Drosophila melanogaster: one gene and its partner. The protein of the gene in region 2 interacts with the protein of the main gene of each other region in a pairwise test. Each region holds a gene or a part of one and is shown on either strand. Other genes may lie near its edges. The genes, in order: CG34334 and Saf-B.

Region 1 (5,250 bases), on a different chromosome or scaffold from region 2:
ATCGATTGAAATTTACAAGACTAATAAAATTATGAACAAACCAAAAAAAAGTGTGTGGGCGGTTTGTTGGCGATTGGGCGTGGCAACACGGGTCAGCAAGCTTTCACTGCGCATTTGTCTCTACAATCTGTATTCTGAATCTCAACCTTTTAGCTTTTATAGTTTCTGAGATCTCGACGTTCATACGGACAGACGGACAGACGACTTGTCTCGACTCGGCTATTGATCCTGATCAAGAATATATATACTTAATATAGTCGGAAACGCTTCCTTATGTCTGTTACATACTTTTCAACGAATCTATTATACCCTATTATATATATTATACCCTTATACAAGTTTTGGGCTTACCGTACTTTCGATATGGTTTGTTCTTGATTTTACATCGAATAGCGGTACTTTTTTTCTAAGCGTTCTCTACGAAATACCATTTACCTGTCTTTTGGTAATCGATTGATTGCAGTGGGCTTTTATATTATTACTAACAGATAACCACCTTACATACGATGATTATTTTCTGATATACCTCACAATTCTTTTTTGTGCGGAGCATGGATTTTTATTTTTATTTATTTTAAGCCCAACAATGTTTTTAAATTAGACTGGTATTAATAAGTAACTTTTAAAACGCACGATGTCCATCAAGTCTACATTTGTATTTGAAGTTGGAATGGAATAAAATAGGCATCTGGCAGAGTCCTGAAAATCCTGTCTGGCTTAATCTCGCCTTCCTTTTGCAACATTAGACAGGTCCGCCTATCTAGGGCGAACGCGAATCGCGTCTAGGGCGATGGTAATGCCCGTAGCGCGGCGATGAGCGAGTGTAGGAGCACGATTGCGAACGGTTGCGCCGAGAATAGCGCGATCCCGACATAGAGCGGACGCGAGAGTGGGAGGACCGCGACCCGTATTCCGAGCCGGACGCAGAGCGGGACGGCGATCGAGAGCGTGACGACGAGCCCGAGCGGGACAACGTACGCTGGCTCTGGCGCCGGTTGACTGGCGAGTAACGTCGGTATTGACGCCACGGCGCCTTTAGCATGCTTTCCTGAAAGGCGGACACCCTGATCAGCTTCCCATCGATCTGCCCGCCGTTCATATGCTTGATGGCACTGGCGCAGTCCTCTGGACGTGAGTACTCCACAAAGGCGTATCCGCGTCCCTGGCGCCCTTGGAAACGGTCCATTGGAAAGTCGACTGCCGTCAGGGCGCCGAAGTGACCAAATATCTCGGTTATGTGCTCCTTGGTCACCTGACGCGTCAATCCCTTAATGTGCAGGCGAACATTGCGCACGGGTTGGCGAAATTTGAAGGCGTCCTTTCCGTTTCTGTAGGCCACTTTGTTTACCTCACCCACGGCTCTGTAGCCCCGTCCACTTGCTTCTGCTCCTTCTCCATCCCCTTCACCGCGCCGATGGTTCCACTGGCTGCTGCAATTCCGCCCATTTTGATTTTGAACGCTTTGTTTTTGGCGAGTAGGTTCTGCACCAGCAGACGGTGAAGAGCCACGACGTGGAGGATCGTTGATCTTCGACGACTTGCCCTTGGGGCCTGAGCTGCCTGAGCGGTTCTGCTGAGGACTCTTGTCGTGATCTTTGGCTGTCGAGGGCCTGGCACTGGAGTGCAGCTGGGTGAAACTCGAGCTGGAACTGGTGTGGTTCCCGTGGCCTGAACTGGCGCTTGCGTTAGACCTGACCACCGCTTTCGAAGATGTGCTTGCCACTGAAGTCTTGGGGGCTTGGTAACCCGCCTTGCTGCCCGCGTTATTGGTGACAACCGTCTTTGAAGATTGGCCGGTACTGCTGTCCCCCTTATTTTTTGTGCTGGAGATGCTAGCGCCGCCACTTGAATTGGTTTCGGCCATACCAGTGGCGTTGGCAATCGTCTTTGTAATGGTTATAGTGCTAGACTGGATGATGGCTTGGTTGGTGCCGATAGAACTGCTGGCGGCCGAGGCGATGTTCTGCGAGGTGGAGCTGCGTCTACGAGACTTGCGGTCCAATACCACGCTGCTTGGCTCCCTCATAGGAGTTGGCATGGCGATCGGAGCAGGAATTGGTACCGGAACAGGGGCCGGAACGGGTTGCGGGTGGGGATTGTTATGGGAGCTGGAATGGCTATGGAGATGGGAGTGCGATTGCGAACGGGAGTGGGAACGCGGTTGTGCCTCCGAAACAGACAGGACAGCCGGAATGGGTGCCGGCACGGGCAGCGGAATGGGTGCCGGTATCTGAATGACCCCAGGGGCTGAAGCAGGAGAAATTTTTTCGACAACCTCCTCCTTAACCGTGATAGCTCCCTTGGCGGCGGATATGCCACGACGACTCTTTTTAGCCAAACGCTTGGAAAAGCGTCCGTGATTCGAGTGATGGCAACGGGTGACGTGCCGGCGACGGTGCGAATGACGAGGGTTTTGGTGGCGCCTATGGCGACGATGGTGTCGGTAATGGCAACACGAGTGCTTGGTGCGCTCAAACTTTTTGACGGATCCTTCTGGCTCTGGCTCGCTGTCGCTCGACGAGTAGCTGCTGCTGGTGGAGCTCAAAAAGCTTGTGCAGCTGGACGATCCAGAGGTGCTGTAGCTCGAGTCCGAGTAGCTGGAGTCGCTGCAGTCTGCTTCAGTGCTCTCCGAAGCATTCGAGTGAATTGGTGAGATGTTCCTCATCCGGGAGGAGGGGCCTCTGGCTGGCTCTTTGCGGTCCTTGCGGTCCTTGCGGTCCTTGCGGTCCCTGCGTTCTCTGCGGTCTCTGCGGTCCCTGCGGTCCATGCGCTCCATGCGTTCCAATCGCTCCCTGCGATCTTTCTTGTGCGAATGCATCTCCTTGCGTTCGCGCTTAGTGGCTGGCTCGCCATCGTCTTTTGCCTTCGTCCCTGATACCTTGGTCATTTTCACAAGATTTCACTTTCACTGCGAACAAATATGACGGCCTTCGAAACTATTTTGATTTGATGCTCCGTTACTCACACGTTGGGAACGGCTGCCTTATGAAAATGTAATGGCGTGTAAAAACTTGGTCTGACAACTGTCATAAAAATAAAAGCTGACCAAGCAAAGGCCACTCAATGATAGATAACAACTTTTTTGCTTTGTGGTTGCCACCTTAGGTCACCGCAGTAACGAATTCTCAAGCAATTTAACACTAGACCAGACCACATTAAGGATATAATCGTTGTCCAACACTTCGAAATCAGGGCTGTAACTATCGTCATTCAGGGAAGGCATTCCTATCACCTGTCAACATAATTTAAATATACACAGACAAGAAAAGGAAGGTAGCATCGGTAATACAAAGTTTATATACCCTTCCAGTTACTATACATTTAAATACAAATTTGTTGTATACCAAGTAAAAACACTTTATAATTAAAAGCACCGAAACTATGATCTCTTTATTATAACTAGCAATTAATATGACATATCAAATTTTGATCAAATGAACAATGTCCGTCTGTCTGTCCGTATAAACGTCGGGCTCACAGGAAGTATAAAAGATAGGAAGTTAGTTGTAAGAAAGTGTGCAGATTCGCAGATTAACTTAACCTATATATGTATGTTACGAACTGCCTTCTTTTTTTTAGTGGCAGTGCCCCTAGCTCAGGCTTTTCTCAGGGCGGAGTGCCACACAGCTTGCAACATAGGCATCGATAACTATCGACATCGACTATCGACCCTACATATCTATGATCTCTAAAAAGCAGACAAGCAAAAAAAAGTAGAAGAAAAAAAACGAATTCAATTTACATAAACGACAAAATCTTAAAGTACTGGCACCCAACCGACCTAGGTTGCACGAAGGATTATTGCGGACATCACTCATTATCAACACGTCGGTGTCGCTTCAAACGACTAGGACAGCCCCATCTCCCCAAAGGTGAAGCATTCCGGTATGCTTTCTTGTTTTATTACACATACATATAATTACTGATTAACTCTTACATTCTTTATTTTTTTCTTCAATCACTCATTAGGCAGCGATCACCCTAGATCGTCGACTGCTTTGAAATGGTCAAAATTAGTTGATTTTCTTTCAGATTATATTTCAGAAAGCTGACGATTCTTTAAAAGTGTACCAAATACCAATTACTTTTGGTATGCGGGATCAGTTTCGCTAAGCCAATTGGAATGAAGCACACGCTTTGGGGCTGACAGACTTTACAGTTGGTCAAAGTTGGATATAATTCTGAAAAAATCAACGACACAAAGGCTCACACGTTACATAAATGCTTAAATCAGCTCGAACAAGAGTGAACAAGGTTAGTTATAGTCCAAATATGCTAAATTCAAGCGTAATGCCATACCTGGTAAAATAAAAACTTCGAACACTTGTTTTTACTAAACATAAAAATGCGGGTCACAAACACATTATTTTTATTTCGAACATTTATTTCCTAAAGTTAACATAAGTTGTTAATTGAATTTGTTTTACTTTGTTTAAATTAAAGGTCAATAAACAAATACGAAACGTTACGCCAAATATTTAATGACCACGCGCTGAAACATATGTTTAAACAAGCAAAAACTCTTATGCTAACTCTTATAGGCTCAGACGGATAGTCAGTTAGAGTCAGTTAAAAAAGAAAAAACTGTATTTAAATATTTAAAAATGTGACTTTTGTCCCACTAGAAAAATCATCTGGCCCACTGGCCCACCGACGACAATTCAGACTCGCGATTGACACCGGATTTAGTGACAAATTCAGGTAAGCGTTTCAAAATAATTTACACAAAACAAAGCCTAATGGAATAATATATCCTAGCACCAGCGGTTGACGGCCGTTGAAATAATTGTGGCAGTCGACGTCTTCAGAGTGTCCAGGGAATCTACGGGAGTCAAGGGAGGTTGCCCTGGAAGACTCCTAATCCGAGCAGATTCTGACTCCTTAGTGTAGTGGACAAGCAAGTTACCAAAATACAGATGAATTTTCGACGGCGATGTAGACTGGCTTCACGAAATATTTATGTATTTTCCTGTCTTCCAATGCAATATTGCCGGGGGCCCTATTTCGTCATATTTCTAATCCCCTCCCGATTTGGGTCATTGGACATAATCCGGGCCATTTGAGAGTAATCCCGGAGTGAACCGGGATAATTCAAACGGCCAGATCGCTCAACAGGATTCCCAAAGGGGGCCACTCAAAATCATCACCCTATCGCTGTATCTATCGATAAGGCCTTATCATCGACTCCAACTGCAACATACTAATACTTTTTGGAATACTTAAGCCATAATCTTTTTTTTTTAATGCTAT
Region 2 (7,364 bases):
AGAAATCCCTTCTAAACCGTCGCATGTAGAAGGCGAACTGTAGCGACCAGTGTACCATTGTCGCCTCGGAGGACAACATCATCACCGTTTGGGGTACTCGTAATGGCCTCCCGGGGATTGGTTCGACCAACTGTGGCCTGGGACTGCAGATCTGCACACCCAACATGGAGCTGGAGTTGGGAAATAACACGGCAGCGTTTACAAACTTTCTGGCCTCGGTCTACAAGTCGGAGCTGATACTGGAACCGGTGGATATATTAGCGTATGTTTTCATTTTGCAACAGGGATTTTATTTTTACCTGCATCTCCTGCAGTCTCTTCTCTTCCAAGGAGCAGTGCGACCGTGGCTATTACGTCCAGGTGCATGACGTTTATCCTTTGGCACATAGCGTTCTGGTGCTGGTAGACACGACCACGCCACTAATATCCTCATACGAAGGTGATTACCCGCACCTATAGGTTCAATAAATCCTGCAGATGTAACATAAATGTATGCGCATTTTCAACATAGTTTGATAATACATTTATTGGTTTCCAAATGTAATTTTAAGTTTTAGAACTACAACTAAAGCTCATTATATTAAGAGCAGCGCTCCTGGGCGCTGCTGGAAAAGTCACTCAGGGGGGTGTGTTGGATGTGGGGATGCATGCTTGGAAATTCGAATTGCCTCATTTTATGTAAATGCACATTTCCTAGTAGCGCGACACCGGTCCGCTGTAGCGATCCTGGGCGGGTCGGCTCGCGCCGTACATTCCGCCTGCTCCTCCGCCCCCACTCTGCCCTTGATAGCCGGTTGAACGTTCGTTGTAGCCGCGATCGAAGCGCGCGGGCACTTGCCGCCAACCGTTGTCGTCAACGGGAGCAGACTTTTGCCACGAATTGGTGCTGTGCATATTCGAGGACATGCCGTTGTTGCCGTATGACTTAATTTGGTTGCCGCCGCCGCCACCGCTGCCCAGGTGAGAGCTGCTTCCGCCGGATGATGGCGCCCAGATGTTAACGCTGTTCGAACTGCTGCCGTAGGCTCCACCGCCGCCGCTGGAGTTGTCATAACGCTTGTTACCGCTATAATAAAAAATTAGAATAGTTAGAATCCATCGTAACTAGTTTAATTCTATTGTTAAAACTTTTACAGGCTGTGGGAGTCGTCGCGTCTATAGCTCGATGTGTTGCTGCGATCGGAATCGTTGTAGCGCCCGCCAGTGCCGCTGGTGTTGTTCTTGTGGACGTAGGATCCGGCTCCGCCACCGGCTGTGTTGTTCTTGTGCAAATACGAGCTGCTTGAGCCACCGCCGACAGTTCCTGAAAGTGGCAAATGACGGACTTCATCGCGCTTATAGTCGTCGCGCTTGCTAGAAGAGGAGGCACTATAATCGTTGGAGCGCTTCGTGGGCACGGCAGTATAATCATCGACAGCGCCACGCTTGGATCCAGAAGAACTGCTGTAGTCGTTACGCTTGCTGGAGTAATCCAATCGCTTGCTGGAACTAGAATAGTCATCAAGCACGCGCTTGGTGCTCGACGAGGATCCGTAGTCATCGTGTTTTTTGTCATAGGTGCTGCAAAGACATGATTGTAACTCGCAAGTTATTTTCTGTGGAAGAATACTTACCTGCGGGAGCTGACTAGATTCGTGTCGAATCTCGGTGGTGGTGGCGCATCAAAAATAGCTGTGCGCTTACGATCAGTAACGTCTCCATAGCGGTCGTCGGCACGTTTGCTTACCCCGCGCTTGCCAGGATCATCGCGGGACTCCATGATCCTGTTTGTGTAAATCGACAAGATTGAGAGGAAGAGAGATGGAAGAAATAAAAGAGTTGAGTTAGTAATGCTAGTAATGTCAGTTCTGGAGTGAAGTGGGGGTATCAGACTCAGACTTTAGACTAGGATGCATTTGCCTATCAACGTTCCGCTTAAAAGCAATTTGAGTTGAAGAAACAACGTGGAGGCTGCAACTTAACACGCTAATCACAAGGACAAATGCTTTCCGAGAGAGTATAAAATAAATATATTGGTATATCTGTGTTGTCGCCTCTGCGTTGGCACGAGTGCAACGCATTACGGTCTGTTTTGGTTTTTTTTTTAGCATACTTCATCTGTTGTCGCTTCAGCTCGAGGCGTTCCAGCTCGATTTTTTCTCTCTCCAGCTTCTGGCGCTCGCGCTCCATCCGCAAAAGCTCGGCCTTCTCCCGCTCGAGCCGTTCCCGCTCCACAGCGAGCTTGCGCCGTTCTTCCTGCAGACGTTCCTCTTCGATTCGCTGGCGCTCACGGGCCTCCCGACGGCGACGCTCCTCCTCACGCAGCTCACGCTCCCTTTCCCGAAGGCGCTGGCGCTCGCGCTCCTCACGTATCTTCTGGTAGGACAGCATCTCTCGTTGACGACGCTCGCGCTCCCTCTGGCGCTGCTGAATCTCACGGTCGACGTCGCGTGGATTGCGCCCCGAACGATGATCCTGACTACCCTTTGCGGATCGCTCGCGATCGTGGCGCGGTCTATCCTGGCTTGCCAACGACTTGCCCCGGTCATCGTTGCGACGGCTGCGGGCCCTGTTGCTCTCCTTGCCATCACGCTTTAAATCGCCACCAACAGACTTGCTGTCGCCGTTTCCATCGCCGCCCTTCTTGTCATCGCCACTGTTGGAGCTGGAGCCCTTGCCACTACCAGACTTTTTGCCACTGTCGTCTTCCTTCTTCTTGTTTCCGGCGTCGCCCGGAGCCTTGCCCTTGCCCTCTTTGGAATTCAAGCTGCCGCCAATCTCGTTCTTGGTACGCTCCACCGAAATGATGCGTCCATGCAATTCGGTGCGGTGCAGATTTTCGATGCAACGCGAGGCGTCTGCCGAGGAGGACATGGTCACGTATCCGTAGCAGCGAGTGCCCGGAGTACGCGTATTGGTGACCACCTTGGCCCCAATCACCTTGCCAAACTTGGAGAAGATTGCCTTAAGGTCGCTGGCACGGGTTAAAGTGGACAGCCCAGAAACCCATAGATTTCGCGACAGCGTCGCCTGCTTGTTGTTTGAGTTGGCCCCAGTACCATTGCCAGCACTGGAACCGGATCCCGATTTACTGCCAGCGGCACTCGATGCAGTGGAGGATGTGGCACCACCAGGTGCTGCTGTCGATTTCTCTGCAAGTTCCATGTAAATAATAATATTGGAAGAGAGATATGGTCAGAGCTTTGAGTGGGCTTAACTGGTTAACTGTTTTTGTTTATGATACGTTTTTAAGGGAAGCATTTTGTGAACGCACACATTTTGTAGCTGCTGCAGATGTTGGAGTTTAGAGCACAATCGTAAGATTACCGACAAACTTCACCTAACGAAGCTAAGAGAGTATGAATTTGATTGGGTTGCTGATGAAAATCCATTGCGGCAGCAGGCTCGCTTTTTGCTGAAGGCGTTCAGAGTATAGAGCAGCATATCCAGAGCTGACTGTTTAAATAGCTGTCAGTTTCCATCGTCATCCACAGGTAAGGCCAGCATATCCTAGCCAGGATCGAAATAAGTGATGTAATACAAATCCAGTAGTTATCTGCCGAGAAGAATTAAAAATATCCGCACTTCCCAGCTGCAGTAAGGGAAAGGTGCCATCCATTTATTCTCCAGATAGCCTCATTTTATATTATAGGCCCCTCAACGGAGTATTTGCACATACGCCTATTGATGACCAATGTTATAAACTCCTTGGAGAACATTGGGATGTGTGTTTGATTAGTATGAAGTTTCCGTCGAAGTTAACTGGAACAAACACTAAGATTAACTCGAATTGCTGAATTTAAGATGCATCGCTGCTCCTGAGCCGAATTCTCGCATCCTTGTTGATAAGAGTCCCATGTCCGTGTCCCAACCAAATTCACACTCTCTTGCACGGTCTTTGATACATGTTCCTCAATGGTTTAGTCAATTTTTTCGACCTTAACTGGGTTCATGCTTGGTCTGATCATTCCCAACGCAAGACCATCCGAACACACCATTCTTATTCATGCTAAAACTTTAACTTAATTTACCTTTATCGTCCTTTTGATTCGACGACTTTCCTGAGGACTTTTGTTCACTATTTTCCATAATAATTTATGCACAATCATGTGGCGAAATGAAAAGAAAAAATATATTATGTTATTAGAAGACATGTCACAGAAACGTTTTCAAATCTTACCTAGAGTCCTTCTTATCACCGGATTTCTCATCCCTTTTCTTGGAGCGAGCTCCGTCGTCATTCTTCTTGTCGGCATCCTTCGAGTTAGACTTTTCGGATTTATTGGCCGGTTTGACTGTGAATCAGGATAACTTTTATTAACATATTAGCTTTATTTCTTGTATTTCGTATTTCTTAATCGATTGCATGAATACAAACGCCATGATATTTCTAGTCATGAATTATAAATTTTCTATGGTTTTGAGTGATACTGCAAACATACCAGACTTAATAGATTTGTCGTCGGAAGCCTGAGGACAAAACAAATTGGATTAGAATACATCAATTTAAGGCCAAATAGTTAAAATCACCTCATCGTGCAGCAGCTTCTGCTCGTCCTCCCCAATTGTCAAATTGATTGACTCGTCATTGTCCATATTTCCGGTGTCCCCGGTGTTTTCCTCCTCACCATGGATAATAGCCTTGTCGTCGCCATTGTTCTCGGCTCCATCGTCCTGAGCTTTCCCCTCGGCATCGCCATCACCGCTCTGGGGCTCATCGTCGTACACATGATCCTCATCCTCTTCATCGTCGTCATCCAGGATCACACACTCATCGTCCACATCTCCCACCTGGTCAATCTCATGCCCATCGTCGTCGGCATGATGCGAGTAGTCGTTGCCATTCTGGTAATCATCTTGCTGTTCCACCTTCACCTCCTCCTCATTGGCATCGATGGGCTCTTCCTTGATCACCACCTCCGACTGGAGATCTTTCATGGGCATGGCAAACGGCTTCTTGGCCTTCGCGCCCGGCACAATCAAGTGGGTGGCCGGGTCGAGCCCTTCAGCTCTGAGTGACTTGAAATTAGAAAAAACCAGGCGTTGCTTACACACATTCATAAATCCCCGGAAATTGCATCACTATCTCTATCGCCAGCGGCACTGAACCGCCATTTAAGTTGCATACATATTTGTGGACTTACTTTTTCAAGGCGTTCGATGAGCACCGCCTTGGGGCCGACTGTCTCCAACTCGCGTTTCTCCAGCTCACTCTTTAGATCGCACACGCGCAACTCTGCTATTTTCTTTCCTGCCTCGGGCATTTTACCTTGTTCTAGATCACTGGTCACTTGCTTAACTATTAATTGTCGCTTTTTAAGATTGGAATGAAATTTTCTGTACTTTTTTCCAGTCTCGAAACGTGTGAAAATTCTTTGACAAGTCTCACTGATACACACACAATTATCGAATGACAATCGAAAATGGCGATTACGAAGTTACGTTCTGTTTTTAAAATATTCAATCGATGTCAAGTATCGGATGAACTTACGCATCGTGTATAACTATTTACATTTACAGGTATGGACTTCTTTGATCAATTTGTATTTTCTTTATTTTTTTTCAGTTTTGTTCAGTTTGTATTTTTTTTACTTTTTTCTCAGTTTAGGGTACATAAAAAAAAATATTTTTTTTTCAAAATTTATGTAAAATACCAATTTTGTACAAGTTTCATATAACACCGACATAAGTCACATTAAATTAATAATTGTATTAGAAAATTTGGATAATTAATTTATACCTACAATTTATACACTTCTCTCCTCCGATGCGCAGTAGAGATGGAAAAACATCGATGATTCCTCGAAAAACATCGATGTTTGTGATTTTTCGAAAGCATCGATGATATCGATTTGGCATCGATGTTTCTCCACCTCTATATTGTTCTTGTTTATCCCTTGATTTTGCCGGTATCTGTGAATTCGCACAATGTCGGTGGTTATAGAAACCACGATGGGTGACCTGACCGTCGACCTGTTCATCAGCGAGCGCCCAATTGCCTGCCTAAACTTCCTCAAGCTGTGCCGGCTGAAGTACTATAACTTCAATCTATTTCACACGGTGCAGCAGGGATTCATCGCCCAAACAGGCGATCCGAGTGGAGCTGGAGACGGCGGATCCTCCATCTGGGGCGTGGTGGAGGGTCCGCAAAAGCGCTTCTTCGAGGCGGAGTTCCTGCCCAAGATTAACCACTCCAGTGCCGGAATGCTATCGCTGGTCAGTGCAGGCAAGAATCTGGTGGGATCCCAGTTCTTCCTCACGCTGGGTGAGAACCTAACATCGCTGGACGGCAACCACTGCGTTATCGGTGAAGTGGTGGAAGGTCACGAGGTGCTGCGCAAGCTAAACGACGCCATTGTTGACGACAGCTTCCGTCCTTACCAGGATATACGCATCACACACACTGTTGTGCTTGAGGATCCGTTTCCTAATCCGCGCGGCCTTCAGGCTCCAAGTCGCTCACCTTCGCCCAGTGCGGAGCGTCTGAAGAACGGGCGCATCGCTGCCGACGAGGATATCGATGACACTGATGGCATGACCGCGGAGGAGATGCAGGAGATGCTGGCCGAACGAGAGGCCAAGGCTCGAGCCACAATCCTTGAGATTGTCGGCGATTTACCCGATGCAGACATGGCTCCGCCAGAAAATGTCTTGTTTGTGTGCAAACTCAATCCTGTTACAACCGACGATGATCTGGAGATAATCTTTAGTAGCTTCGGCGTGCTTAAAGGATGTGAGGTGATTCGCGACCGCAAAACGGGAGATTCTCTGCAATATGCTTTTGTGGAGTTCGAGGATCAAAAATCTTGTGAGGCCGCATATTTCAAAATGGATAATGTGCTTATCGACGATCGACGCATCCACGTGGACTTCTCCCAATCCGTTTCAAAGGTCACCTGGCGGGGCAAAGGACGTGGTATTGAGGGCGACTATAGAAAGCTGGATTTTAACAATTTGCGAGACGACAAAGATCACAGGAAACCAAACAATGGCCGGTCCAGAACAGAAGACCATAAGGAGCGCAACAGGACGGAAGATTTTCGAAATAGGATGAGCTCTGCAGAGCGAAGAAAAGCGAGAGAACAGCGACACCAGGAGCAAAGCGAACGAGATGTTCGAAAGAATTTGCAAAGACGCACCAGATCGAAGGAAAAAGATGAAAAAAGTGTTTATAGATCGAAAAAATCGCAAAATGAGTCAGTCAGAGAGAACTCAAATCGCGAAAGGAATCGCAATGAAAAAAGGTCATCGAGGTCTCGGGATGCAACACATAGAAGGTACTCTAGGTCAAGAGATCGAGAAGAGAGAAGGCCTTCTAGGCCTAGAGACCAATTAGGAAGACGTTCTAGGTCAAGGGACCAAAAGGAAAGAAGACGCTCTAGGCC

Evidence for each region.
Region 1: the proteins of Saf-B (region 2) and CG34334 interact in a two-hybrid assay, tested with the Drosophila melanogaster proteins (one large-scale study listed by BioGRID).

Annotation. Positions count from the first base shown.
Region 1 is NC_004354.4:22,870,653-22,875,902, reverse strand, and holds CG34334 (uncharacterized protein), read right to left. Parts: upstream 3,092-5,250; 5' UTR 2,888-3,091; coding exon 761-2,887; 3' UTR 536-760; downstream 1-535.
Region 2 is NT_033777.3:24,815,496-24,822,859, reverse strand, and holds Saf-B (scaffold attachment factor B), read right to left. Parts: upstream 5,397-7,364; 5' UTR 5,244-5,396; coding exon 5,124-5,243; intron 4,999-5,123; coding exon 4,510-4,998; intron 4,450-4,509; coding exon 4,422-4,449; intron 4,275-4,421; coding exon 4,160-4,274; intron 4,058-4,159; coding exon 4,011-4,057; coding exon of another isoform or gene 3,997-4,010; exon of another isoform or gene 3,132-3,996; coding exon 2,093-3,131; exon of another isoform or gene 1,764-2,092; coding exon 1,614-1,763; intron 1,561-1,613; coding exon 1,135-1,560; intron 1,067-1,134; coding exon 694-1,066; 3' UTR 510-693; downstream 1-509. Other genes in the region: niki (nimA-like kinase), read left to right, coding at 30-262, 315-459; CG5808 (uncharacterized protein), read left to right, coding at 5,908-7,364.